4 linked regions of the Arabidopsis thaliana genome follow. The protein of the gene in region 3 interacts with the protein of the main gene of each other region in a pairwise test. Each region holds a gene or a part of one and is shown on either strand. Other genes may lie near its edges. The genes, in order: AT2G02160, RR14, IAA20 and HB32.

Region 1 (6,012 bases), about 19 Mb from region 3:
TGAACCAAACGAAAGGGCAAGAGATAAAGGAAGATTGAGAAGGAGAAGGAGAAGAGAGAGGGAAACAGAGAGGTGATTGGATTTGAGAGAGGGAAGAAGAAGAAGGGCTTACATGGCGAGGGAATCTGCGATTAACGTGAAGAAAATTGCGAAGAGAACAGAACATTTTCAGGAAAAAAGTTAAAAGTGAATAGAATGAGCCTCATGGTTTAACTCAGAGACATTGTATTCTATGGTATTCAACTATTCTACTGAAGAGGAAGGAAGGAGAAGAAGAAGAAGAAAGTAGGGTTTATGAAGAACTCTGGGTTTTGTTGCTTTTTTCCACCAAGTCTATTTCTTTACCTGTTGTTGTTCTTGTTTGTAAAATAATGATTTATGGGCCTTTGGAAACGGGCTACATAGGCCCAAAAGTTATAATTCTGGGCCCAGTCTTCTTTTTCTCATAACATTTTTTAACTCAGGGTTAATTAGATTGGTCGACTAAATTCGTAAATACTTTAAAGTTGATTGGTGGAAATCAGTTACATAATTACTCATGTTATGGAAAGGGCAAAAACAATAATGCTAAAGTGGTATTACATCATTCATGGTATGCAAGTGCAAAAACAATAATGATAAAAGGTGTTAAAAGCTAAAATAAGTTATTTACTGTAAATACTTTTTAATTTGAGGAAAAAGTAATATATCAAAACAGATTAGAAAACAGTAAAACTCAGAAATATGATATGGTGTACTTGTACCATTGTTTCTTTTCTTTCTTCTCTAGTGTTACAATTTAAGAAATCACAGTAAGAAAAAATGGCGACTAAAACTCAGTGCCAAGCCAAAGATAAAAGCGACTCGTATTATTTGCTCTACGACTTCTTCTCTCCATTTGCATTAAGCAGAGAGAGAGAGAGAGAGGAAAGGAGCAAAAGCTTTTTTCTGTGTTACTCTTTCTTCTTTTATGACAACATCTCAACGGTCTTCTTCTCAATGTCTTCTTCACCCTCACCTTCACCTCCTTCTGTTGCTTCTTCTTCTCCTTCCTCAGCCGCGTAAACTACTTCTTCACCTTCTTCGTAAGCGTATTCTCCTCCCTCTTCTTCATATCCTTCTTCGTAATAGTACTCTCCGTTTAGCTCATCGCCTTCATAAGCTTGCTCGTCTTCATTTCCTTCATACACTTCCTCCCCAACAATTTCTTCTTCCTCCATAACCGTTCCTTCTTCTTCTACTTCAGCTTTGGGTTCAGAGACAACCTCGGTTTTCTCTTCGGTTATGAGTTTGATCTCATCTCCAGCTTCCTCTTTCGATATCGTCTCGTCCTTGTTGTTGTTTCTGCTACCACCAGATGCGGCCGCTTTTTTTCTCTTGAGAATCTCACTGAAAGGCAATGGAGCTGCAAATGAATCCCTTGATCGCTTATGACTATGATGATCCTCTTCAAAGCTTTTCCTCTTCCCAAGAGATGGCTCTGGCTTACTTTCCTCTCTGCTGCTTTTAGGAGCTGATTTTCTTTCGTCTTCCATTTCTCTTCTTCTCGCCCATGGAGCCCCGAAACCTCTTTCCTGATTACCACTATGGTTTTCCTCTAACCTACCCTTAATTCTATCTCGGAGTCTACCCTGAGAAGGTAACTCGCTTCTGTCCCTTCCCCTCTCACTTCTCCTGTCAAAGTGGTGACCCTCTTCGCCATTGCTTCTCTCACGAAGCTTAATTCTACCCTGAAGACGACTACTGCTAATGGAGTTTTCCCTCGGTGTATCCCTACGAGACTCTCTATATCCTCTGTCCATCGAAGAGTCAGGAGCAGCATAGTCATGGCCTCCTACTGATAATCTCATACCATTGCCTTTTCTCTGCTTAGCCAAACGATATCTCAGATCCGATTCCAGTATGTTCTCTGATCTCTCATCTTCTGCGTAAACCCTTCTGTCCAAACGATCCTCTCTCTCAGAAGAAACTCGACGATGGCCCCATCCCCTGTCTTCCCTCCGATCATATGAATCAAAACGTTGTTCACGTAATGCTTCTTTATCACCATCAGCAATTGCACTGAAATCAGGGTCATACTCTGAGTTCCCTCTCTCCTGACTTCTACGTCCATATCGATCTTCAACATGATAATACTCAGAATCTCCAGCCTCATTATCCACAAGAACATCAAACCCAGGAGACGACTCTCTTAAAACGTCATCTGCATCCTTACCATTGTGGAAACTGTTATTATCATCAGATCCATATTTCTGAAGCAACTGAGTAGAATGGCCTCCTTCAGTAAAAGAAGGGAATCCTGGACCCTTTCTCTGCACAACAGGCTCATATCCCACATGGTTTGGAATGTATCCCTCTACACTTCTACTATCCCTTAGTCCAGTAGAAGCGACTCTTGGTGCAGCCGATATGTCAGTATGTCCTTTAACCACCTTTGAGAGATTAACATCAGGAAGTTTCTTCTCCTCAGTGTTATTTTCAATTGGCTTTTTAGAACACTGAGGATCAGTAGCAGGCTTAGCTTCTACAGGATGCTGTTTTTTATACGCAGCAGGATTCGGCGTGTGCAAGAACGAACACATATCTCCTTTCATACACATGCCTTTTTGAAAGAACAGACATGGAACAGGCTGTTTTGCAACACTAGGATGCTGCGCGGTTGCATGTATTGGCTGTACAGAAACAGCAGGAGCACCTCCTTGATTTCCCAACAATCCCTCCAAAGGCTGTAAGAAAACAAAACCACAAACATAAGCACACTTTGATAATACAACTCAAGAAGCTCAAGCAGAGACTATCTATTGAGGAAGAAAGTAAACTCACAGGATGCCGAAATCCACATTTGGGATTCAAACAGTTTCCATTCAACCAATAATAGCAATCCCTCGGGTTCATACGCGCATACTCACTGTGGCGATACTCGCATTCAGGTCCCTGTAAGCAAAAAAGGAAGAAACCATAAGAATCGTTCTTCAGCATAAACATACACATCGAGCAAAAATCATATTCACAGAACATGAAAATCTCCTTTATCAGAACATCCTTATAAAGCTTTGTATATGTAATTTTCAATCTAGCTAACAAGAAGCCCTAAGAAACAACAATACTTAGAATCACGAGGTTCGAAATCACCAGATCTAAATCTCGCACCAAAATTAAGCAGATGGAGAAGTGAAGTATGTATAGATAGCTTCGAGGGACACAAAAACACAGAGAAACTTGAAATCGGGTGAAAGAAACTTGAGATCTCAAATCCAAAACCCTAATTGAAGCAGAAACTGGATAAGATCTAAGCGAAACAATAATCAAAAATCAATTACCTTCTTGCAGGTTAAAGGAGAAGCGAGAAAGTAAACGCAATCGGTGTTCCACTTCAAAGCATCTTCTTCAGCAGATGAAACAGTCTCTGATTGCTTCTTCTGCTCATGTTGCTGTTGCGGTTGAGTCGCAGGCGCAAACATTATTATTACTTGGAAATTTCTGAATCTCTCTTTCAAGTAGATCGCAAGGTTTCAGATCGAAACCCTAGGAAGATCGAAAATCACCGATTCAGAGAGAGTCCCGTGGAAGAAGAAGAAGAAGACGAGCCGCCACAAAGAGCGCACCAGAGAGAAACTCGCGACTGTGTGTGTGTGCCCTTTAAAGCTAAGCCTAAAAGTTTTTTTTTTTGGCTCTTTTTTTTTCTTATGTGATGGGAAATATCAATAGATCAAGTTCGGTTTATTTGTAATCAATCAAATACTGACACGTGGGGATTTATTATTGGTTTATTTGTTAGCCATATTGTTTGCCTTGATATTATAACTTCTGATGGAACCAGCGACTTTGGAATGTTGTGAAATAGACAATGATAAGGTGATTTAAACCGAACTTGAACCAAAATTGTAAACCGATTGGTAGATCTTTTACAATCAAACATTGGTAAGGAAATCTAACCAAAATTAAATCCAAACCAAAATCAAAACTTTGGTTTTCACTTTGGTAAGGACATCTTGAACCGAGTAATTCGAAGATCTCTCAAAACCAAAATTTGAAGATGTACAAAGCAACTAAAAGATCACAAGAAATAAGTTTTTCAAAGCTTTTATTATACAAATGATGATAGAAAGATGTGTTCTTGAGAATTAACAACATCACATTCACAATAGGATTGGATTTAAGAACAAAAGCTAAAGCAAGAGAACAACAATGAAGGTACTTTGCCTGTTCTTCGGATTTGTTCAGCTTGTTTCTCTGTTTTAGCTGCCTGATGATCCTTCTTTGCTTCAGCCGCTGCTCGCTTTTCCTCTGCTTTGCGCTCGATTGTAGCGAGTTTCTTCATCAACCGGTCTTGTGCTCGTCCCTTAATCCTCTCAACTTTAACCTACAATATCAAGAACTCCACCATCATCATTCATGTTTTTCCAAGTTTGTTCACAATCATGACTTGAACTTACGTAGCTATGTTAGTGTAGTTTACCTCGGTTTTCTTCATCTCGGCTTCAGATTTCGCCTTCTGATGATTCTCCCATGCTTGAATCTTCATCTCTTCGCGTCTGAACCTGGAGATTACAGAACTCATCATAAGCTTAAAGTTTCGAGAATAACTAGAGGACTATGACAAACAATTCAACTTTGGACTACCTAGCCATGTGCTTAGCTTTTTCCGCTTCCTCCCACGCTGTAGCACGAGCTTCAGAAACACTTTTAGAAGTTTGTAGAGAAGCTTTGGTCTTTAATGATGTGGATGCGTCTTTATCTTCATCCTCCTTGCTAGCCCAAGCAGCAATGTTAAATTTACCAAGTTGAGTACCCAACACCATTATCTCTCTCCTAGTTTTCATTTGAAGCTCTTTCTCTGACAGTTCCTTGTTACTCATAGGAGAAGCTGATGCTTGTCTGCCTGGACTTGAAGGTTCAGAAGATATAGGACTTCGTATTGGCGTTGTTGCCCTAATCGGTGTCCCGTTTCTAGAAGGTTCTTGGCTCGCTATAGGAGTCATTTCAGTTCCCATGTCTCTCATTGACACAGACCTTGCCGTTGAAGGCGGTTGAGCAAACGCAGTTGCGACTGACGAGTCATGACGGCTGAGATTAACTGCAAGAAAGCAAGTAAAATTGGCTTTAGAAGATAAATAGAGCATACAAACTGAATAACTCAAAGAGCTAGCTAACACCACCTTCAGTTGCTGATTCTACAATAGAGTTCTCAACCATAAGAACCGGTTTGACATATGAATCCACGGTAGTGTACGAATCAACTTCCCAGCTACCAAACTTGTTTCCCATATCCTTTTTCACTTGGCTTACATCTATTCTCTTTGTATCAGGCTCTTCAACCACTCTATGTTCAGCAACTTCAACAATCTTCATAGAAGACTGACGACCAAAGCTAGGCCCTTTCTTCGAACCCGGAACCTGAACCTGTCCAGTCTTCGGTCGGTTAGCCGTAGGACTAGCAATCCATTTCTGAGCATCATCCCATTTAGATGGAGCTGGTTTAGAGAATGATCTAATAGGCATTCTTTGATTAACTTTTTCCTTCTCAGTCTTTTGAAACTCAAAGACAGATGATGCAGAAACACTCTTGATCTCATTCACATTATCATAATCAGAATACTCTTGAAGACCCAAACTAATCGATCTAGCTATCCCTGAAGTAGAACAATCAGTAATCTCACTCACAACATCAACATCTTTGCAATCATCTAATCCACTAGCAACTACAACATTTGAAAACAACAAAAGCAAAGAAAAAAAGATGCAAACTTTAGATTCAAATAGAGACAAAAGGCGTTATTAAAAAGAGTATTAAGAAATGATTAAGGGGCTCCACCATAAACCCTAGGGTCATCAATTTGATTAGACCCAGATCTCATTGTAGGAGTTGATTCTTCTTCTTCATTCTTCTTTCTATCAACACCTAGAAGAAGCATACTCCTTAACTTCCCCGGAGAAAATCCGCCGCCGCTACTAGTAACCTATTCATCGGAGGAAACAGAGTTTATCAAATCAAAAACAGAGATGATGATGAAGTGATTTGCAAAAGGAAAG
Region 2 (4,465 bases), about 19 Mb from region 3:
CTTTATGTCCTTATGTATCAAGGCTTTAATTAGAATTGCTGCTTTTGCCTTTTGCAGGAGAAATTTCAACTGCGGCTTAGAGTCTTAGAAGAGAGTTTAAGAGGGCCTTCAAGCAGTGGAAACCGATCGACACCTGAGGGAAGAAGTATGAGCAACGGGCCTTCTCGAAGACAATCCCTTGGCGGAGCTGATATTATTCCGAAACTGACATCAAATGGATTTTTCTCCAAGAGGTCACCAAGTTCTCAGTTTAGATCTTTGAATGCTAGTACAAGCACAATATTGAAGCATGCGAAAGGAACATCCAGATCATTTGACGGAGGCAGTAGATCTTTAGATAGGAGTAAAGTACTAACAAACGAACCCAGATCGAAGTTTCCATTGAACCAATCTTCTGAAGGAACAAGCGGAGGCGGGTCACCTAATTCAACAAAACAAGGAGATTCAGAGAAAGCAGCAGGGACAAATAATGATAGTGTCCCAGGAGTATTACATGATTTGCTTCAAAAGGAGGTGATAACTTTAAGGAAAGCTGCTAATGATAAAGATCAAAGCCTTAGAGATAAAGACGAAGCTATTGAGGTTAGTCATTAGTTTTACACCTTTCCAAGAAACGTTTGCTTATATTTATTTATATTCTCTGATCAAAATACTTGGGCTTGTGTTTGCTTTTAGATGTTGGCCAAGAAGGTTGAAACACTAACAAAGGCGATGGAAGTGGAAGCAAAGAAGATGCGAAGAGAAGTAGCAGCAATGGAGAAAGAGGTTTCAGCTATGCGTGTGGATAACAAAGGATCAGATAGTAGAACGAGACGTCACTCTACTAACTCAAAAGGAGCTTCAACAACTGCACAGTTACTTTCTGGAAGGTACCTGATGTTTTCTTATTATAATGACCCAATGTAACGATTATAAGTTGGTTAGGTTAGTTTTCTTTAACACTTGAACGTTTGCTTTGCATTGTTGTTTTAGCAGAGGCTCAGGACGAATGGGGATGACGAGGAGCACGCAGTGATCAAAGAAGTCGATTCCACGAGCAAAATATGAATCTCAATTCAGTGGTTAATAGATTGAAGGAATGACAAAAAGCATACAAATATAGAAATCCAATATGGGAGGTTTGTGTGCTTCTTAACATAGTAAGATTTCAAAGTTAAAAACTGATTTTTAATTTCTTGGCTGATGTTTATTGTTTTCCTCATATATAGAAAAGAGTTAGGTTTGTGTTTTAACTACTAACTTGAGCTTAGTGTGTGATTTATTGTATCTCTCTCTATCTTACCTTTGTCCATTTTTCTCATTTTGGGGTATGTTATAGATTTAAGAAATTAGTTCAGAAACAGAGGTGAGAGTTATTAGTGAAAAAATTGAAATTGTCATTAGTTTCATTGATCCAGACACAACATTCACTAACATTAGTTGAGTCTGGTCTCCTTGAAGGCTTGAAAAGAGATGTCCCTTTGAATATAATGAATCTGTGAAGGATCAAAAGGACCTCTCACTCTATCAATCTTTGTAATGACTGCTCTCTCCGGCAACACACTCCTCGCCGGATCCACCGCCGTTTCTCCGCTCAAGCACGACGACACTCCTTTAAAGATTACAACTTCCACTTCTTCATCGTCGACAATGGCCGTCACTATAAGCGCTTCTTCTCTACACGACTGGCTATATATCTCCAACATCGCCATTTCCTCGTTGTATCCATACATTTCATCTTCATCTTCACCACCTCCCTCGTCTCTCACCCTTCTCCGAGCACCGCACCAGAACATCTTCAAAGCTCTTCTTCTCTCCGCCACTGGAGGGACGGTGAAAAGTTTTTTCCGGTAGTTATACGAGTTTGTGAGCGAGGGTATTTTAGTCATTTGATCTTTCTGTCCGAAAACGAATAATCCGGCTATGCCACCGGATAAATTCGCCGGCGTGATAAGCATTCTGATATTGTAGTGCATGAGGACCGTGACTTTGTCTATAGATAAGATTTTAAAGGACTCGTGTATGTTTACAAATAAGGGTAGTACCAATTGGATTAATTACAACAGAGTGCCACTACAGCTATTACCAGTCGCTTTCGTTGCCTCTCTCTTCAAACCAGTGGCTACTTACTCAACACTGTACGTCTTCAATCATTTCTTCTTCTTTCTTCTCCAACCAAAATCTCTTTCTCAGTTCTCTAGGGTTTTCAATACTCACACCAAAGCTTAATGCCGATCAACGATCAGTTTCCTAGTGGGTTAAGAATACTCGTTGTAGACGATGATACTTCATGCTTGTTCATTCTCGAGAAAATGCTTCTCCGTCTCATGTACCAAGGTCTAATTCTTTATCAAAGTTCCCACCTTTTAATAGATTTTCTCAAGAAAGTTTTAACATTTTTGTTTTATCTTCTCTTTGTAGTTACAATTTGCTCACAAGCTGATGTTGCGTTAACCATTCTAAGAGAAAGAAAAGACAGTTTTGATTTGGTGCTAAGTGATGTTCATATGCCTGGTATGAATGGTTACAATCTTCTTCAACAAGTTGGTCTTCTTGAAATGGATCTTCCTGTCATTAGTAAGACTCTGTTGTTATGTTTTGTCTCTAAAGATTGAATCTTTGCATCAATGTTTCTTACATTTGCTCTGTTTCTAGTGATGTCTGTTGATGGAAGAACAACTACAGTCATGACTGGAATCAACCATGGAGCTTGTGATTATCTAATCAAACCTATTCGTCCTGAAGAGCTTAAGAACATTTGGCAACATGTTGTTAGAAGGAAATGTGTGATGAAGAAAGAGCTTCGAAGTTCTCAAGCTTTAGAGGATAACAAGAACAGTGGTAGCCTCGAGACTGTTGTTGTTTCGGTTAGTGAATGCTCAGAGGAAAGTTTGATGAAATGTAGGAATAAGAAGAAGAAGAAGAAGAGAAGTGTTGATAGAGATGATAATGAAGATGATCTTCTTCTTGATCCTGGAAACTCGAAGAAGTCACGCGTTGTTTGGTCTATTGAATTGCATCAACAATTCGTTAATGCCGTAAACAAACTTGGAATTGACAGTATGATCCTAAACACTATCTTATTGCTTGTAGAAGAAATTCAAAGTAATTTGTGCTTATAAGAATCTCTCTTATTGTTTCAGAAGCTGTACCAAAGCGGATTCTCGAGTTGATGAATGTTCCTGGTTTAAGCAGAGAAAACGTGGCTAGTCATTTACAGGTTTCTTTGATTGATTGATTGAATCTTTCTTCTTATTAGGGTCTCTATAAGGGTTATGACTGAATCAATACCATTTGCAGAAGTTCCGATTGTATTTGAAGAGATTAAGCGGTGAAGCTTCGCAGAGTAATGACTCTGAGTCTACCAAAAGATATGAAAACATTCAAGCTCTGGTTTCCTCAGGACAATTACATCCACAGACATTAGCTGCATTGTTTGGTCAACCAATAGACAATCATCACTCTGCTAGTTTTGGAGTTTGGATTCCTAATGACAATCTTGGTAGATCTCAAAATGAACACTTCTCGGTTGATGTATCATCCGCTTCTAACCGTCCTGTTTCTGTGGCGGTTCATGGTCTATCTTCCTCAGCAAATTTCAGACAGAGAGGTGACGTTAACAACAACAGAATCAGACAAGGGTATGGATCAAATGTCAATGAAGAATCTTGGATCTTGGAAAGATCTTCAAGACAAAGATAGTGACCAATATGGATACGCTTAAGAAGAGAAGGCTCTGCAACTGTTTCTTTTAAATCTTCAGGAATGGATTAATGTCAGAAGAAAACTTGTGTGTCTGCAATGTTAGCTTAGGAAAGTAATTATGTAACCAATATTTTGAATTGTTATCTCTCACTTTATTATGGTTGCCAAAAGTTTTAGCCTGATAATAACCACAAGACATGCAACAAACAAGTCTCAAAGTACACAAAACATCAAACGCAACACTAGTTTTGTTACTGCTAATGTTGCACAACTTTAGCCAAACAAAAAGCAGCAGCTGAAGCAATCGCTCCTATAAAGGCGGTTTCAAACGCACTTCTGAGGGGCTTGCTTCCAGTGAAATGCCCTTTTGCATAGCCAAATATGAAGAGCGCAAACAGAGTTATAACCACAGACGCCACTACCGCATCCATGGCATGCGGTATGAGCATGTAGGGAAGTAACGGTATAAAACCGCCAAGAACATAAGCGATTGCAATCGTGAACGCGCTTTGTAACGCTCTTTTTGGATCAGGCTTCTCTAATCCCAGCTCAAACCTGTAACGAAACAATAAAGTCTCACTTATATAACAAGTTACATGCTTATAGTAGGAATATAAACATTTTGTGATAGGTAAAGAGTGTTAAACTTAACCAAATCAATAAGATAAGTTTTTATATTCACGTAATTTGTTGTTTTCTGTTTGTTACTATTCACGTACTTTATTTGTTGCAACAAAAAAGATTAAAATTGGAAGTCGGACCATATAAGAATCTTGCCCAC
Region 3 (4,313 bases):
AGGATAAAAAAATATTAAAAAAATATCATGCATGCAAATTCTAAATCAAAATTGATTGCAAGAAAAAAAAAATACATATATAGGCACTCCATTCATTTAATCACCAATTACTTTTTGAATAGAAATTCTATGAGTTTTAAATTTTATATACGATATCAACGAAGAAATAATTCGACTTCTTCCAATATCATAAAAGTAACATAAGCAAGTTCAAAATTTAATGCTTCATTAAACCAAAATAAAATAAAAAATGCTTCATGAATATATATATATATATATATATATATTTGAAATTATTTGGTAGGGGAAGTAATGTTTTAAAACTTGTATATTATAACAATGAATACACATGTAATAATGTAAACATACATCCAATCAACAAATGAAAGAAACAATCCGATAATTTCAGTAATGTTAAAGCAAAGGGAGGAAACAAAAGGCTATGATTAGTCCAACAAGAGGGGCTACAGAAAAAGAAAGCCACGAGACATGCAAATGCAATCACGCATCTTAAAAGCAAGCCCAAGTTTTGACTGACAAGCAACCACGACGCAGTAAAGTGGAGTTCTCAAAATTAGCGCATATATAAAGTACTTGAACTATGTGTGTATCTTTCCAATAAAATGCAATTCTATAATGACTGCCAAAATCAGTACTTCATATTATTTTTGAGGAAATATCGTATATGTGTATCTTTTTCTAACAAAAGTTTTTTTATTCAATATAGAAAAAAATGAGTATATTTACAATTTACATATCATAAGATTAAAGTTGCAAAGAAATAAAGAGAAGATGCAAATGAAAATAATGGAAGAAAAGAGGGGACAGAGAGGAGGCGGAGGCAGTAAGAAAATAAGAAAGTGAGGAAATTGTAATTTGTAGTGTTGTTAGGGAACATCTCTCCTTTATCCTTTTTCTCTTGATTTTTTTTTTGTTTCTTCAATATTTCTCTAAAACTCAATTGGTTCCAACTAATTAGTACATTTTTTCCAAACTGAAATATCGAAACCTGAATTAAGCGAGGGAACCAAGCCGGTTTCAACTCTAGTGCGTATATGTCTCTAATTGCTTACATGGTTCAATCCAAACCAAGCTACACTATGCTTGCACGTTGTGTTATTTTGTGAAGGATGAAATTATAATAACGAAGTTTGATGAATTGAAATGAAATTAGTTTCGTCACGAAGCACACATCCATTAAAATTTGATTCTTATATTATATTTTCAATGAAATTATATAATTTTACCATAAGGCACGCATCCATTGTACAATGTACATGTTGTGGTTGAGGGAGTCCACGTGGAAACAAAAATGCCACGTGGGTAATGACAAGAAATATAGTCGTTGGTCGTTGTGTCGTGAGTGTGTGTGTTTCCTTTTTCTCGTGCTTGCAAATATGAGAAATGTGACGTCTCCTTAAGTTCCATAGACAAAGGAACTCTCATTAGGTCCTCTCTTTAAGGTGAACCATTCATTACTCATGCCCCCTCTCTTCCTTCGCTTTTTTTTTTCTTTTCAATTTTCAAATTTTCTCTATTTATTTAGTTATTATTACGTCTAACAACTTCTCTTTCGCAAATATATTACGTATGATTTACATCATTATATAGGCACTTTTTACCGGTTTGGAATAGTCCGTTTTAGACCGATTATGGCAGCGCTGATACAACTTGTTTAGTAGTTGACTAATTTTTTTTTATGTCTAAGCTTCGAATAAACGTAATTGTAAAGAAACAAAAATGAGATTTATCTTCTTTTTACATGAAATAAAATCGGTCTAAGACTTACTTATTGGGGGTTTTGATTATTCAAATCATCTGGTGGAACTAAATCGCATTGTTTTATGGTTAATAATGACTTGGACTTGAATCATCGTAGGCTCAAACATTTGTCATGCTTGCATACATATGATGGGTCCACAACTCCACATCGTAACTTTCGTCATAACTTTTGTTAAACAGAAGTAAAGAACTATACCTAATTAACTTAAGAAAGAAGTGTTAATCCGATTACTAAGCAAGCATTTACCCAAACACTTTCCGAAAATAATTTGTTTGATTAAAGTGTTAATTGTATCGAGGTCATATGAAAACACATTAATTTTGGAAATGTGGGAAGTAATGTAGTTCCACAAACGCCTCAATGCGCGTCACGATAACCTTTCATGCATTGAACACGATTAAGAAGATGTAATTTCTCAATATTAACTTTAATACTACTTCATATCATCAAAACAGCTAAATGTATATATTTATTTTTTGGGGTTAGATATCAAACATTAACTAGCGAGAAACCGAACCCACAAAATCATAACCAACACTTTGATCGAATCATCGTTTGACACGTGTTTTGGTCTGCTACACTAACAACATTTTTAGCGGACGCTGTCTCATCATTCCACCGTCGCTTTTTATTTGTGTGAACTTTGAACAAAAATACGAATTAAGACCATATCAAATTTAAAATAAAATAAAAACAAGTCCTAGTTTTATCTTCTATATAAACACACACGTACAAACCAAGCATGGCGGCTCATTACTCATTTGTCTTAACCTAAAATTATTATAAAAAGGATAGAGAGAGAGAGAGAGAGCTAGAGATATGGGAAGAGGGAGAAGTTCATCGTCTTCTTCAATAGAGAGTAGCAGCAAGAGCAACCCATTCGGTGCTTCGTCAAGTACTCGAAACCTAAGCACGGACCTGAGACTCGGACTCAGCTTCGGGACATCCTCAGGGACTCAATATTTCAACGGTGGCTATGGGTACTCCGTTGCAGCTCCGGCGGTAGAGGATGCGGAATATGTGGCGGCTGTGGAGGAGGAAGAAGAGAATGAGTGTAACAGTGTAGGGAGCTTTTACGTGAAAGTGAACATGGAAGGAGTTCCAATTGGAAGAAAGATCGATCTAATGTCTCTTAATGGCTACCGCGACTTGATCAGAACCCTTGATTTCATGTTCAACGCATCCATTCTCTGTAAGTTTCTATGTATACATAATGTCATATCAGAATGATTTATATGTCTTAGAGGTAGCAAATTTCTAACGATATTTTTTTCTTTCTTATAAGTCCGTTTTGATTTTTTTTTTTTTTTTACGGAATGAAAAAATACTTCCGCTCATTACTATTCTTTTGTTTGAAGGTTAATATCGCCGTAATAATCGCCCATCACTATTTCATAGGTTGTTTGTTTGTTTGTCAAAAAAAAAATCTGGATAACGTTATATGTCAGAGTTATTATTCCGTAGGTAGAGTTTATATATTGCGCAGTGTGTAAGTACTGTGTAATGGGTAAATTGTAAAAATGATGAAAACTGATGGGAATTGAAAAAATGGAAATATATAGGGGCTGAAGAAGAAGACATGTGCAATGAGAAGAGTCACGTGCTAACGTACGCAGATAAGGAAGGTGACTGGATGATGGTTGGAGATGTTCCTTGGGAGTAAGCACTCTTTTCATCCTTTTTTGTATAATTAGATTGTTAATTATGCAGAAAATTAACTATATGATCATCCTTATATATATTTTTAATTTGTGGGTTGATTTTTTGCAGGATGTTCTTGTCTACTGTGAGAAGACTGAAGATTTCAAGAGCTAATTACCACTACTGATATATAAGTCTACGTACTTGTTGTGTTTAAATCGAAGTAATGCCAAGAAAAAAGTTTTTGCCTGATGTAAATCAATGGTCGGATATTTATAATATTATTTTCATTTTTCTTTTGTGATAGATAGTACATAAATCTTGAACTCACTCTGATTATTCTCGGTAGTACACAAAAAAATAGTAAAAAAAGGAAAAAACAATTATCCGATCGACAATCATGTTTCAGTGCATTAAACCAGTCAGACCATTGGTCATTGGATATTTGAATTTATATAATTAGTTGAATGCTTTTATAAATAAAATTATAGGATGTACTTTCTTTTGTTTGTCAAATAGGATGTAGTCCAGTTTCAGAAAATACTAGTAGTCAAGAAAACCAAGCGACAAATTAATGTCGAGAGACAACTTCTAAATTTTCGAAGAATTTTTGGATTTGATTATCGATTTGACCACAATGTACATTTGATATATACAAGGAAGGAGGCAGGGGAAACAACAAATTCCCACCTGATATTTCCTACTTTGTGTTTTGGAAATAAATGGGCCTTCTCCTTTGATTAAGCCCAAGTTCGATCCCATCTATAAATAATGCAACTTAAAACTCACAAAAGTATTCGGCTTACGCAAAATATAGGGTTTCTGTTTATTCCAATCATAGCTTCCGGATCAAGCAAAACAGAGACCGAGACGGAGCAAATCGCTTCTA
Region 4 (4,007 bases), on a different chromosome or scaffold from region 3:
TACTACATTATGAGTATTATGGTGTTACTTTCTTAATATTTTATTGAAAAAGTGATATTCTTGCAATTGACCCAGAAAAAATCTGCAGGGAAATTTATTTTTTTGTACTTTTTTTTTTTCTTCCTTTTGTTATCTTTTTATAAACATTTTACTGACTTGTAACAGATATTCTTTTAATTAAATGTTTTTATTTTTCAGATTACCTTTATTTGTACTTATATATAGTTGAAAAACATACTAGAATTGATGTCTGAATAATCATTAACTAAAGGAAGTATAGCTTTGTCCCAAGCGCGAAATTAATTTGAATGTGTACCATATGAACAATAACAACAATCGAAATTAATACAGAATATAATCATAGTTAAAAGCTAATTAAGTCTGGAATATCAACGACAACAACTCTCGGAGGAGAGGCAGGAGCTTCCTCATTATGATCAAGTGTTATCAAATCAGAAAGCTTCGTCTCTATCTCTTCCTCTTCTTCTTCTTCTTCCTCAGCAATCTCTGTTCTCTCCGCACTTTCCTCAGACGACTCCATCGCCGTCCTTACGAGTTCATCGAGATGAATCACATCCGCTTCAGGAATCCTTACGAAATTAGGAATCTCTTGAGCATTAGAAACTCCCAAGTCTTTACAAAACTCAAAATACTTTTTTAGCTCTCCTCCTTGCTTCATGGATTTAGCAACAATCTTCAACGCCAAGTCTGCCTCTGTTTTACCTATCTTGGAGTGCACGTTAGGTAAAACTTCAGCAATACGACGACAAATCCAACCGTAAATCTCCATAATCTCACTAACCACATTCTCCATAGCTTCATTAATCACAGGTATCATCATGTTTTCACCAATCGGTTTGATTCTAATCAAAGAATCAACAATAATCTGCATCTTACGAATAATCACAAGTCGAATCAGAACCGATGATTCTTCGTTGTATCGATGACGATTCCCATCGTGAAACAGAATCGATCTTCGATCAAGAAACGCGAAATAAGCACGTACGAAGAGATTAAACCCACCGGATTTGCTCATAATCCGTGAATTACCTTCGCCGAAACTCGAAAGATCGAAAGGTAACCGTCCGATCGATTCTGCTACGGTTGATTTACAGAGGAAGAAGCCGTGCATTAGCATTAAGCCTTTTAAAGCAACCGCCCAGCTTCGCGTGCGTTTCACGCGAGACGAGATTAAGCTTACGAGAGGCTTGAGGCTTGACGGGCTAGAGAGAACGTGACGGTAGATGAATTGAGCGCTCTCTGTATCAATGGAGAGCTCGTCGTGGCTTGTAGCTTTCACAACGGCTGCTGTGAGAATGTCATCAGCCGCGATGAGACTAGGTCCGTCTTTGAGAACTACGGCGGCGCGTTTCCAAAGCTTCATCTTCCGACTAATGTGTGTGGTTTCAAATTGTTAGTTTCTATTTCGCGCTTTATAATTTTCATTTTAAACCGTGTTTTGTTTTCTTTGATGTCAATTCTTTGCTGGTTTAAAACGAATTAGATAAGGATAAGCTAAAATTAAGAAATCTCAGTTTTGACCAAAATAAAAAAAGATATTTTTGATGTCGTTACTAAATTATTATCTTCCATTTTTCAGTTTAACTCGATTGATTACGTAATAAGTTCATTAGATAAGTGTTGTTTGGTTGGCTTTTCTATATGTTTCGTTGATTTTGTTTTGAGGCAATTTTCTAGTGTAGTAGTGTTGTAATCGTATATAATGTATGTGGTTTGAGCAAGTCAAATTATGACTTTGTTTGTACAATATGGAAATATACATATCTTAATTATTAATGGTGTGATTGATATCGTTAAGCCGTAAAATAATCGTTTAGCTTGCTAAATTACACACAAAACATAAAGTAGGCAAATGAACATATACGATAGTGAATAGTCAACTCGTGGGTCACACAATTGCTTTTTTGCTAAACCTCTTAAAAGAAAGCGTTTCAGACTTCTTTTTGCAATAAAATCAGATTCTTTGAAAACTTTTGATCTTTGCTTCTTAATTATAGTTTCATTTTAGTTACAATATATTATTGATATTTCTCAATTTTACAAAATTAGTTTCTTAAATCTTACTTTTATAAATCAAAATACTTCTACTTATTTAGAAACATGTGACCTCTATACAATCCAAACTTATTAAATTTGTTTATACCTATATTAAAAACTTATTACTAATATATTAGTACTAGTTTACTAGTACTAATTAGCCGCTATAGTTTTACAAAAAGTGGTTTAGTTTTCTTATTCCTCATTATTGCTACTACACTTAACCCAATGGATTGAAAGAGTTAACTATGGGTAGAGATGACAACTTTATGAGCTGAGAGGATACGAAATTATGGATGTGTAGAAAAGCAAAGCCAGTGAAACAGTTCAAAAAGTGGGTTTTTCACATTTATTATGACAACTAATAAACACGTAAGTACAAAATCTTAAAGCAAGTAAGTAACAATAATTTTTGCTCTTTTTGTAACTCCCAACTCTTTCTGACACAAAAAAACACCATATCATAACTTAAGTAACCCAAAACCAAACTCTTCCAAAACAAACCCTAAACGCAAAAATCATTACTCAAAAAAAAACAAAGTCTCTCTCTTCTAATTAGAGAGCCAAGAAGATGCAGAGTACTTGTGTCTACAGAGAATGCATGCGCAACCACGCCGCGAAGCTCGGCTCTTACGCCATCGATGGCTGCCGTGAATACTCTCAACCATCCACCGGCGATCTCTGCGTCGCCTGTGGTTGCCACCGCAGCTACCACCGTCGTATAGACGTCATATCTTCTCCTCAAATCAATCACACGCGCTTCCCGTTCACGAGCTTAAGGCGCGTGAAGCAGCTGGCGAGGCTGAAATGGAAAACGGCTGAGGAAAGAAATGAGGAGGAGGAGGATGACACGGAGGAGACTTCGACGGAAGAGAAGATGACGGTGCAGAGGCGGAGGAAGTCAAAGTTCACGGCGGAGCAGAGAGAGGCGATGAAAGATTACGCGGCGAAGTTGGGATGGACGTTGAAGGATAAGAGAGCGCTTAGAGAAGAGATAAGAGTCTTCTGTGAAGGGATTGGTGTTACTCGTTATCATTTTAAAACTTGGGTTAACAATAATAAAAAGTTTTATCACTAACTAATTAACTAATATCCTTAATTGAGATAATACTATAATTTAGTTCCAATTTCATTTTCATCCCTTCTGTGTTAATTTCTCCTCCTTGATCGCTTATTTTAATGGATTATTATTTTATCATTAGTGGGTTTAATGTGTTTGATTTGGACATGTCCTTAATTACTAACTGGTTCACTCTTTAATTGGTCTTTATGATTCTTCTTTTTACGTCGGTGGGATTTGAGTTTTGACAAGACAACTAGCTGACGTTTTATTTATGGTCAATACTGTTCGCCAATCAGAATATTTATACGTAATAATATTGAAGTAGTTGAATAGTAGTACTAATTATTATGGGAAAGGATGGCAAAATGACATTTTGTTTTGATAGAAAATTGTAAAGATTACATATCTAATTCTAAAATTTGTAAATAATTAATGGTAAGATATATTTCACGTAATGAAAAGACAATTAGTTACGGAAATAACACAACATTGTGTTTTTTCGAGGTTTGTTACTAAAAATTATAATGACATCATCAAAGCCAATAAAAGCTGTTATGCTTTTTTTTGTAGAAATAGTCATTTCAAAAATAATTTTTATACTTTTTGCTTTTTTATAAAGTCGTAAAACCATATACTTAAAAGTATATACCAATAAAATTGTGAACTAATTGATTCATAAAATTGTAACTTTGCTACCATTATACCAAGCATCCCATTCCCACGAAAGTTTCAACTTTAATTGGGCTTTTGTTGGCATTTCAAGGCCAATAAGAACACCTTTGAGAAAACTAAAAAACATAGCTCTAGTCTACAATTATTCTAGTGTTTACCTACTGATTTAGAAAATGATTAGGATTTAGGACCAGGTTAACTAAAACCAGAGACA

Evidence for each region.
Region 1: the proteins of IAA20 (region 3) and AT2G02160 interact in binary tests that used the Arabidopsis thaliana proteins (3 or more experiments, as listed by UniProt).
Region 2: the proteins of IAA20 (region 3) and RR14 interact in binary tests that used the Arabidopsis thaliana proteins (3 or more experiments, as listed by UniProt).
Region 4: the proteins of IAA20 (region 3) and HB32 interact in binary tests that used the Arabidopsis thaliana proteins (3 or more experiments, as listed by UniProt).

The regions. Positions count from the first base shown.
Region 1 is NC_003071.7:552,460-558,471, forward strand, and holds AT2G02160 (CCCH-type zinc finger family protein), read right to left. Parts: upstream 3,673-6,012; 5' UTR 3,441-3,672; coding exon 3,300-3,440; intron 2,914-3,299; coding exon 2,803-2,913; intron 2,706-2,802; coding exon 948-2,705; 3' UTR 627-947; downstream 1-626. Other genes in the region: EMB2794 (Tetratricopeptide repeat (TPR)-like superfamily protein), read right to left, coding at 1-166; AT2G02170 (Remorin family protein), read right to left, coding at 4,136-4,342, 4,439-4,520, 4,603-5,056, 5,139-5,681, 5,795-5,939.
Region 2 is NC_003071.7:330,834-335,298, forward strand, and holds RR14 (response regulator 14), read left to right. Parts: upstream 1-2,068; 5' UTR 2,069-2,207; coding exon 2,208-2,556; intron 2,557-2,634; coding exon 2,635-3,039; intron 3,040-3,122; coding exon 3,123-3,199; intron 3,200-3,279; coding exon 3,280-3,681; 3' UTR 3,682-3,863; downstream 3,864-4,465. Other genes in the region: MAP70-3 (microtubule-associated proteins 70-3), read left to right, coding at 58-582, 676-869, 973-1,015; AT2G01755 (uncharacterized protein), read right to left, coding at 1,416-1,955; VIT1 (vacuolar iron transporter 1), read right to left, coding at 3,942-4,239. UniProt on the Arabidopsis thaliana protein: Transcriptional activator that binds specifically to the DNA sequence 5'-[AG]GATT-3'. Functions as a response regulator involved in His-to-Asp phosphorelay signal transduction system.
Region 3 is NC_003071.7:19,305,259-19,309,571, forward strand, and holds IAA20 (indole-3-acetic acid inducible 20), read left to right. Parts: upstream 1-2,455; 5' UTR 2,456-2,602; coding exon 2,603-2,975; intron 2,976-3,345; coding exon 3,346-3,442; coding exon of another isoform or gene 3,443-3,446; exon of another isoform or gene 3,447-3,553; coding exon 3,554-3,611; 3' UTR 3,612-3,813; downstream 3,814-4,313. Other genes in the region: AT2G46995 (uncharacterized protein), read right to left, coding at 4,210-4,313.
Region 4 is NC_003070.9:5,045,417-5,049,423, forward strand, and holds HB32 (homeobox protein 32), read left to right. Parts: upstream 1-2,365; 5' UTR 2,366-2,629; coding exon 2,630-3,136; 3' UTR 3,137-3,337; downstream 3,338-4,007. Other genes in the region: AT1G14686 (ENTH/ANTH/VHS superfamily protein), read right to left, coding at 365-1,384. UniProt on the Arabidopsis thaliana protein: Putative transcription factor.